Macaca fascicularis: one gene and its partner. The protein of the gene in region 1 purifies or fractionates together with the protein of each later gene. This does not show direct contact. Links are inferred from orthologs where the notes say so. Each region holds a gene or a part of one and is shown on either strand. Other genes may lie near its edges.

Evidence for each region.
Region 2: the proteins of ABCA1 (region 1) and NR1H2 purify together in Homo sapiens (affinity purification with western blotting; 3 studies listed by BioGRID and IntAct, with this or other methods). This does not show direct contact. The link is inferred for Macaca fascicularis from reciprocal best matches to the Homo sapiens genes ABCA1 and NR1H2.

The regions. Positions count from the first base shown.
Region 1 is NC_088389.1:53,187,300-53,191,844, reverse strand, and holds the start of ABCA1 (phospholipid-transporting ATPase ABCA1), read right to left. Parts: upstream 3,041-4,545; 5' UTR 2,809-3,040; intron 1-2,808. UniProt on the Homo sapiens protein: Catalyzes the translocation of specific phospholipids from the cytoplasmic to the extracellular/lumenal leaflet of membrane coupled to the hydrolysis of ATP.
Region 2 is NC_088393.1:58,289,258-58,293,664, forward strand, and holds the end of NR1H2 (oxysterols receptor LXR-beta), read left to right. Parts: intron 1-2,646; coding exon 2,647-2,855; intron 2,856-3,127; coding exon 3,128-3,274; 3' UTR 3,275-3,670; downstream 3,671-4,407. UniProt on the Homo sapiens protein: Nuclear receptor that exhibits a ligand-dependent transcriptional activation activity. Binds preferentially to double-stranded oligonucleotide direct repeats having the consensus half-site sequence 5'-AGGTCA-3' and 4-nt spacing (DR-4).

The DNA of each region.
Region 1 (4,545 bases):
GGTGGCTCATGCCTGCAATCCCAGCACTTTGGCAGGCCGAGGCTGTCGGATCACTTGAGATCAGGAGTTCGAGACCAGCCTAGCCAACATGGTGAAACCCTGTCTCTACTAAAAACACAAAAATTAGCCAGGCGTGGTGGTGTGCACGTGTATTCCCAGCTACTCAATCGCTTGAACCCAGGAGGTGGAGGTTGCAGTGAGCCGATATCACGCCACTGCACTCCTGTCTGGGCAACAGAGCTAAACTGCGTCTCAAAAGAAAAAAAAAAAAAAAAAAAAAAAACGTGTACAGGGTACATTATAGGACTGCACTCATAGAAATATGAGGGTGGAGATTTCAAATGCTCATCTGCAGAAGAGACAACATATCACAGGTGTCCAGGTTACAGTCAGCTATGTCATTCTGGAACACTGTGCAGGTGGCTCAAATACAGACTCTTAAACTGCTCTGACAACAGTAGCAATTCTAGTCCCTTAAATGGCTTATAGTCATCATGAACGCTGAAGACCCTCTTCCCCGGTGGGTCTGATCATACTGTTGGTTCTCAAGCAGATGCTGTGTATCCAATGTTTTCCTAAAATTCCCTAGCATTAATTATTTTAATGGTTTGTGGAATGATTTAATGGTTTGTGGAAGCACTGGGGAAACAGGCTGACAATGGAAACTTTGTATTTGAAAAATATTGTAATATCTGTAGAGGTTCTACTCAGGAATACTTTCCATGCTTCCATACTTTCTCTGATTTAGGAGAAAGTTTCTCAAGAGAATGATATTCTCAACAGAAATGGAAAGTTTCTCAACAGAAGGCCTCCATCATTTTTGTGGTAGGTATGAGAAGAATAGGCTGAAATAAAAGGGGAGATGAAAACTTAAGGACTTTAAGTTTTGTTTGAAAAGAAGATCATAATTTAAGTCTGGGTTCTAAACTATGACCGTTAAAAAAATGAAAAAAAAAAAAATCAAGAAAATTCCACTCTTTAACTCGGGGGAAATTTTTGTGAGGTTCTCTTCGTGGGAAGCAGGGATTCAGCCATGGAGGACAAGTGACTTGCTGATTTCAGTACCCAGAAAGTTTTTTTAAATATGAACTTTGTCCACTGTGAGATGAATGTGTATATACTACCCATTCTCTTCTTGGGATGTCATTGAAAAGTCGGATTTTAAAAGCTAATGGTATCAGTGCTGCAAAGGCAGGCCAATTACAGACAGTGGCATACAATTTTTTCTTTATTTTCTTATTTTTAATCTTATTTCTTTCCTTCTTTTTGATAAAAGATATACCTAAAGAGGCACCTACACACAACCCTGGCACCGTCCGCCGCCCCAAGAACCTTCCTTATTTACCAGCGGCCTGGGAGTTGGCAAACACGCTAACAACAACAACAAAAAAACCAAACGGGCTTTCGCCTCAACCTCATAGTTCCTCCCCATCTGCACTCACCGGTCTTCACCGGATTCACAGCGAGCAGACACCTAGTACAGCCGGCCGATTCCTAGGTCCTCCGGCCAGGAGGCGCTGCGGGCTAGTCTCCGGGGGCCACCGCAGCCCGCGCGCCCAGCACCCCCACCCTCAAGGCAGAGCCCAGCCCAGCCCCGCGGCGGAGCTCCGAGTTCTGCGCCGCCCGCCGGGGTTATTCCCGGTCATTCCACAGCACCACCTCGCCCCAGCTTCCCCATCTGCGCCCAGGCAGAAGCTGCCCCAAGAGACCAACGGCAAGGGTCTGGAAGATGGGGCGGCAGGGAACGTGGGGGAGGGAGGATTGGGCACCCCACCTCCGGGTTTCCGCAGGCTCTCCTAAGTCTTGTATTTAGAAGAAACAAAACTCGGCCAGGCGCGGTGGCTCACGCCCGTAATCCCAGCACTTTGGGAGGCCGAGACCGGTGGATCACCTGAGGTCCGGGGTTCGAGACCAGCCTGGCCATCAAGTTGAAACCTCGTCTCTACTAAAAATACAAAAATTAGCTGGGTGTGGTGACGCGCCTGTAATCCTAGCTACTCAGGAGCCTGAGGCAGGAGAACCGCTTGAACCCGGGAGGCAGAGGTTGCAGTGAGCGGAGATCGCTCCATTGCACTCCAGCCTGGGCGACAGAGCAAGACTCAAAGAAAAAAAGAAAAGAAAGAAACTCGTTCCGCGCTCTGCGCCAGGGACACCAGCTCGGCTGAGCGCACCGAGACTGTAGGCAGGACCTCCCTACCCCTCAGGTCACAAAGCCCCAAGGCCTCTAGTGAGTAATAGCACCACGGACCCCGTTTGGGACACCTCCAACTCGAGTTCTCGGGAAAAAGGACGCGCTGCTCCAGTCCCGGGGTGCATACAGCAGATTCCCAGGTCAGAACAGACCAGCTTCTTAAGAACCGAGTGAGAACTCAGTGCTGGCATTTGTCTCCGTAGGTACTGGCCGACCCGCAACCAGAGGGGTTTCTAGCCAACTCAGGCCCCTCCGAACAAAGAAGCGCTCCGTGCCGGACCTGCAACTCTCCCCACCCGGCAGCAGCGACCTCAGCATTCCCGGGCACCCCCGACCCCTCTGAGCCCGGGGTACTGCGCCCGGGTCTCCACGCCCAGAGATGCTCCCCAGTCTCCACCGCCGGGCGAGTCCCGAGCGCAGCAGCGCAGTCCTGGGGTCGCCAGAGCTCGTCCTAGGACATCCTCTTCCCATTTACGCCGCCCCGGGTCCCATTTGGGTTGCAAGTGGTGGGCATGCGGGGCTCCGGATCAAAGTCCCCGAAACCGAGAGCTTCCCGAAGCTTCCTTGGCCTCGCAACAAAACAATAACGCCCAATAAGTCACTGGAGAGCCTCTTACCTGTTTTCCACTTTTGTGTTTGCGTCTCTTTCTCCTACCCCTTGACAAGCCTTCCGGAGAAGGGGAGAAAACAGAACGAGGGGAAAAAACAAGGAGCAAAGCGCCCTGAGAACTAGTCCTGTTGGTGCGCAGAGCCCCCCGCCCTGCTCTGCCCTGCCCTGCCGCAACCCGGGAGAGAAGGGTCGGCTCGGCTATGCTGGTCCCGGCCCCACTCACTCTCGCTCGCAATTACGGGGTTTTTGCCGAGACTAGTTCCTTTTATAGATTCGGCTGCCCGGAGCGCAGAGGTTACTATCGGTCAAAGCCTGTTCTCGCCTTCCTCCCCGCCCCCTTCCCGGCCTCTGTTTATGTAGTTCAGTCACTCAGCAGAAAGCACGTGGAGCCGCGGCCCGCCTCTTAAACGGGCGACGTTCAGCCGCCCGCGAAGCTGCTAGGGAGTTGGGAGGAGGTGGGTGGGGTGGGGGTGGGGGTGGGGGTGGAGGGTGCATCAGGTGTCTCAGGGTCCGCGGTCTGCGCCCCCGCTCCCCGCCCGGGCCCGCCGGCCTAAGACCCGCGGGAAGCGCTGGGCTCGGGGCTGCGCCGCAGACTCTCTAGTCCATGTTCCCGGCAGCCAAGGGCACCAGTGGAATTTGCTTCCCCTAAATCGTGCTTTCCGCAATCTTTTTTTCCTTTGTTAGTTTCCTCAGCCGGAGGGAGGGATTGGGGGAGAGCGAGCTCCATACTGAATCCCCCTCAGGACGCCAATCATTTTGTCTTTTGGTACCTTTCAAAGACCTAGGCTGGTCCTCTGGGTAACCGGCTGCTTCCCCCCCCGCCCCACAACAAACCTTGACTTTAGTTTTTGATAGCGGCCTACTGCCTTAGAGATTCCCAGCCTGAGCTCCCCAGGTCCCTCAGAGGACCTGAGAGGAACATCTTACTGCTTCTCTTCATAAATTGAGAGGAAGGAGGCCACAAAAACAAAAAAAGAAACAGACAAAAACACAGAACAATATGGACCAGCCCCCTTTTAATTTTCATTATATTGATCAGCCTCCCTGTGATAAAAACACAGGACTTGTATTTAGCTTGTATACATTTGTAAAGTGCAGCCAGAGAATTGCAGTCGTGTAAAATTATGTAGCCACTCCAGACCTCCAACTTCTGTTTGCCTTTGCCTGTAGGGAGCAAAACCACCCAAAACATTGGAGGGGCCAAAAAAAAGGCAAGAGTAAGAATGCAGGCCTACACACCATATGTCTAAATATTTAAGTCATCCATCAAGCCAACAAACTAAATGTCTCCTGCCTTGACAAAGATACCTTTGTAACCACCTTGAAGGGTAGATTCACGTTTAGACTCTTCACAGTTTGGCCTGAGTTTTGGTCAGAATGAGGTGGCATGAGAGAGCGCCCCAAGCCTACTTCTCTTCCCACCTCCAGCTCCATTATATTCCAGAACTCCCACCACCTGCATGCAGACACTCAGCTGCACAAGCCCCCTCCAGGCTACAGTCAACAGGATCTCCAGGCTACAGCTCAAGCCCAGGTACCCACATCAGTGGTTCTATCAACACTCAGGACAGACCCATAGAAGAGGCCCAAGCAGGCCCTGGAAGTGCACGTGGAGGCCACAAGGCAAGGAATTCTGGAGTCCCAGGTACTCATAACTCTGGGTGGCATGGCCCCTTTGCACCATGGACTGTTTGCCCTTAGAAAGGGATGGATCTAAGCCGGGCGCAGTGGCTCATGCCTGTAA
Region 2 (4,407 bases), on another chromosome or scaffold:
CCCCCTGCTAGCTGGAAGACCTGGGGCCAATTCATCCCTGTCAGAGTCTGTTTCTTTATCTCCAAAGCCAGGGTGAGGGTTGAGCCAAGGTGAGAGCAAGACAGAGTGTGTATGTCATGCGTGGTGGTGTGTGCCTGTCGGCCCAGCTACTCAGGAGGCTGGGGAGGGAAGATTGCTTGAGGCTACAGTGAGCTGTGATTGTGCCACAGCACTCCAGCCTAGCGACAGAAGAGACCGTGTCTCTATTTTTTTCAAAAAAAGCATGTATTGGCCGAGCACGGTGACTCACGCCTGTAATCCCAGCACTTTGGGAGGCTGAGGTGGGCGGATCATGAGGTCAGGAGGTCGAGACCATCCTGGCTAACACAGTGAAACCCTGTCTCTACTAAAAATACAAAAAATTAGCCAGGCGTGGGGGCGGACACCTGTAGTCCCAGCTACTCGGGAAGCTGAGGCAAGAGAATGGCTTGAACCCAGGAGGCGGAGGTTGCAGTGAGCCGAGATCGCGCCACTGTACTCTAGCCTGGGCAACAGAGCGAGACCCCGTCTCAAAAAAAAAAAAGCATGTATTGAGTGCCGACTCTGTACAGTGGGTTGCAGTGGAAGTTGAGACAGAAGGGCCCTGTTACCATATCAGGCGTCTTGGTGGGCACTAGGGAAAGCATCCCCCCACCCCAAAACCTGGTCTCACCCAAGGGAGGCAGCCTGGAGCTCAGTCCATTGTGAAGTGGGCAGCCTTCCCTACTGTCCAGGAGCACTGCTTCCTGCCCTCCGAGAGCGCTACCTGGGTGTGTCGCCTGGGCGGGTGGGCTTCTGGAAGAAGGCCTGGGCAGTGAGAGGCACTGCCTAGGAAGAGGGTGGGAGGCACGTTGCTAGTGCTGCAGAGCATACACCGGGGCCTCGATTCCTCATCGTCCCGTAATCTGTGTGGGACCTCTCTGCATTTCCCGACATCTGTCTGAGTCCCACCCTCTCCCCTTCCTTTTACCCTGGCCCTTTCACCACCCAAGACGGTCCCAGTAACCCTTTTAGTATGAGCTTAGCAGGGCAGGGCTTCGTGGAAGCGTTTCTGGCAGGGGGATCGGCGATTGCAAAGGCCCTGAGGTCAGGGAGAGCCGGTGGTTTGGAGGAACTACAGGGAGGCCCAGGCAGCTGGAGCACAAGGAGACGGGGTGGAGAGGTCGGGAATCCCACCCTACCCCTTCCCAGCCCCTCCTCTGGCACCACCCTGGAACACTGCCAGAGTCCCCTTGAGGGGCCCCTGCCTCCACCCCCGCCTGATGGAGCTGCTCACAGGGCAGGCAGAAGGGTCCTGTCAGCACTTGAGGCCGCCCACATCCCTCCTCCGCTCAGAACCCTCCACAGCTCCCGTCTCACTGGGAGAAGAGCTGGAGTTCTCTCTGTGGCCCACAAAGCCCTTTAGGACCTGGCCTCGCTTACTCTCTGTCCTCAGCTTCCACCCTCTCCCCCTCCTCCAGTCACTCTGGCCTCTTACTGGCACCCACCTGCCATGCTGTACTTGGGAGTTTCCTTTGCCCAGAACTAGGGGGACCAACTGGTCCTAGTTTGCCCAGGACCTTCCCAGTTTTAACACTGAAAGTCCCATGGCCTGGGTAGCCCCTGTCCCAAGTCCTGGGAACAGCAGACAGTTGGTCACCCTCACAATCCCTCACCTCCTTGGGGTTGGTCACTGCTCCAGCGTCACCCACGGCATGGCCTTCCCTGCCCGCCTTGTGTAAAATAGAACCGTGGCTCAGCAGGGCCCTTTGCCCTTCTCTGCACTGCCTGATTCCATAGAACTCACAGCCTTCTGACTGGCTGGGCCTCTTCCTAATGTGTTTGTCTATGACCTGTTCCCTAGGCCCTCAATGTAAGTGCTGGGGCCTGGCACATGGCAGGTACTCGGTGATGTTCGATGAATGAACGAACAAATCAGTCGTGGGAATGAGTTTGGGCTTTACCTGAGCGGTGGAAGCCAGCGCAGGGACCAACACGATGGTTTTTTTTTGTTTTTTTTTTTTGAGACGGAGTCTCGCTCTGTCGCCCAGGCTGGAGTGCAGTGGCCGGATCTCAGCTCACTGCAAGCTCCGCCTCCCGGGTTTATGCCATTCTCCTGCCTCAGCCTCCCAAGTAGCTGGGACTACGGGCGCCCGCCACTCGCCCGGCTAGTTTTTTGTATTTTTTAGTAGAGACGGGGTTTCACCGTGTTCGCCAGGATGGTCTCGATCTTCGGACCTCGTGATCCGCCCATCTCGGCCTCCCAAAGTGCTGGGATTACAGGCTTGAGCCACCGCGCCCGGCCAACACGATGGTTTTAAAAGCTTCCCTTTGCCTTCGTGAAGGGGACAAGGATAGGACCTGGGGAAGCTGCAACCACCACCAGGTGGGAAGGGAGGCTGGTGACAGGATAGTAGAAAATACTGAGGAAACATGCACCCTCATTATTCATTCCCTCACTGGGCGGGATGTGTGGCACACCTGCTACGTGCCAGCACTCTCATGGGCACGGGGCACAGGTGGACAGAAATGACAACGCTGTGATTACTGCTGTGTTCCCGGCCCCAGTGACTGTGGGTGGCGCCAGGGGCGAGGCTGTGGGGCCCGGTTTCAGGCTGAGGGAGTCACTGGCTGCCTCCCGCCCCGCAGGCCTGCAGGTGGAGTTCATCAACCCCATCTTTGAGTTCTCGCGGGCCATGCGGCGGCTGGGCCTGGACGACGCTGAGTACGCCCTGCTCATCGCCATCAACATCTTCTCGGCCGACCGGCCCAACGTACAGGAGCCGGGCCGCGTGGAGGCGCTGCAGCAGCCCTACGTGGAGGCGCTGCTGTCCTACACGCGCATCAAGAGGCCACAGGTAGGGCCCCGCAGCGCCTCTGCGCAGAGCCAACTACGTCCCGCGGCCCACTTGGTCCATCCAGGCTGGGCTCTGCCTGGCTGCCGCCCCCTCCGGCAGTCTTTCCTCAGGCCCCACCCTGCTGGACTATGAGCCAGGTCTAGTCCAAGCACAGGGGCGGGCCCCACGCTGGCTCCCACGCCTGACCGGGGATGGTCCCTCCTTTCTGTTGGGGTGGGCCGCCCAGAGCCTGGCCGGGCAGGAACTCAGTGCCCACCTGCCTCCTCCCTCAGGACCAGCTGCGCTTCCCGCGCATGCTCATGAAGCTGGTGAGCCTGCGCACGCTGAGCTCCGTGCACTCGGAGCAGGTCTTCGCCCTGCGGCTACAGGACAAGAAGCTACCGCCTCTGCTGTCGGAGATCTGGGACGTCCACGAGTGAGGGGCCGGCCACCCAGCCCCACAGCCTTGCCTGACCACCCTCCAGCAGATAGACGCCGGCACCCCTTTCTCCTCCTCGGGTGGAAGGGGCCCTGGGCTGAGCCTGTAGACCTCCCAGCCCTCAGCCCTTGGGATGAGCCCCAGTCCGGGTCCAGGAGGCTCCCTCCCTGCCCACCAAGTCTTCCAGAAGGGGTGAAAGGGTTACAGGTCCCGACCGCTGACCCTTCCCGGCTGCCCTCCCTCCCCAGCTTACACCTCAAGCCCAGCACGCAGTGCACCTTGAACAGAGGGAGGGGAGGACCCATGGCTCTCCCCATAGGCGGGGAGACCAGGGGCCTTCCTCTTCCTCTGCTCCTTTTATTTAATAAAAACTAAAAACAAAAACAGGAAAATAAAATTATGAATACAATCCAGCCCAGAGCTGGAGTGCAAGATGGAGAGGGCGTGGGCTTCTAGGGACCTCAGTGACACCGGGTCCCTGAACCTGATTGAGCATGTGGGACGGGGCCTCCCCAGGCTGGTGGGAGGGGTGGCACATAGGGTCCCAGTGCTGGGTGGTGTGTCGCCTGCTGTGAAAGTTCAGAACAGGGGCCTGACAGCCTCAGGGTCACCTCCCTGGGCAAGGTGAATGAGAACTCGCCTTTGAAGGATAAACAGGACTTAAGTGGATGAGGGGAACTGGACTTTCGTCTCAATAACGAGTGTTTTCTGAGGCCTCCTGTGGGCCAGGCACTGGGTTGACCATTCTAGAGATGGAGACATTCACCCAGCAAATGTTTCCGGAGCATTTACTAGTCAGGCACAATTCTAGGCACTGGAAACATCCGTGAACAAGATAACCACCCTCCTACCAAGACTCGGGATAGGGACTTTAATGAGGGTGGCACTGTGGTGGGGCTAGAGGAAGTCAGGCAAGGTGTCACAACAGAGGCAATCGCTGGGACCTAAAACAAGAGCCCAGGGGCTGGGCCTCCAAGTTGAGGGAACAGCACGTGCAAAGTTTGAAAGGTGAGGGACACTGCGAGTTCGGAGTGAGCAAGCGACGAAGTTCCTCCAATTCCTCTTGCCCGTGTGCCAGCCCTAAAGGAGCTGAATGAGCAATTCTAATCTAGGGCAAAAGGGGGGGTTGCACGG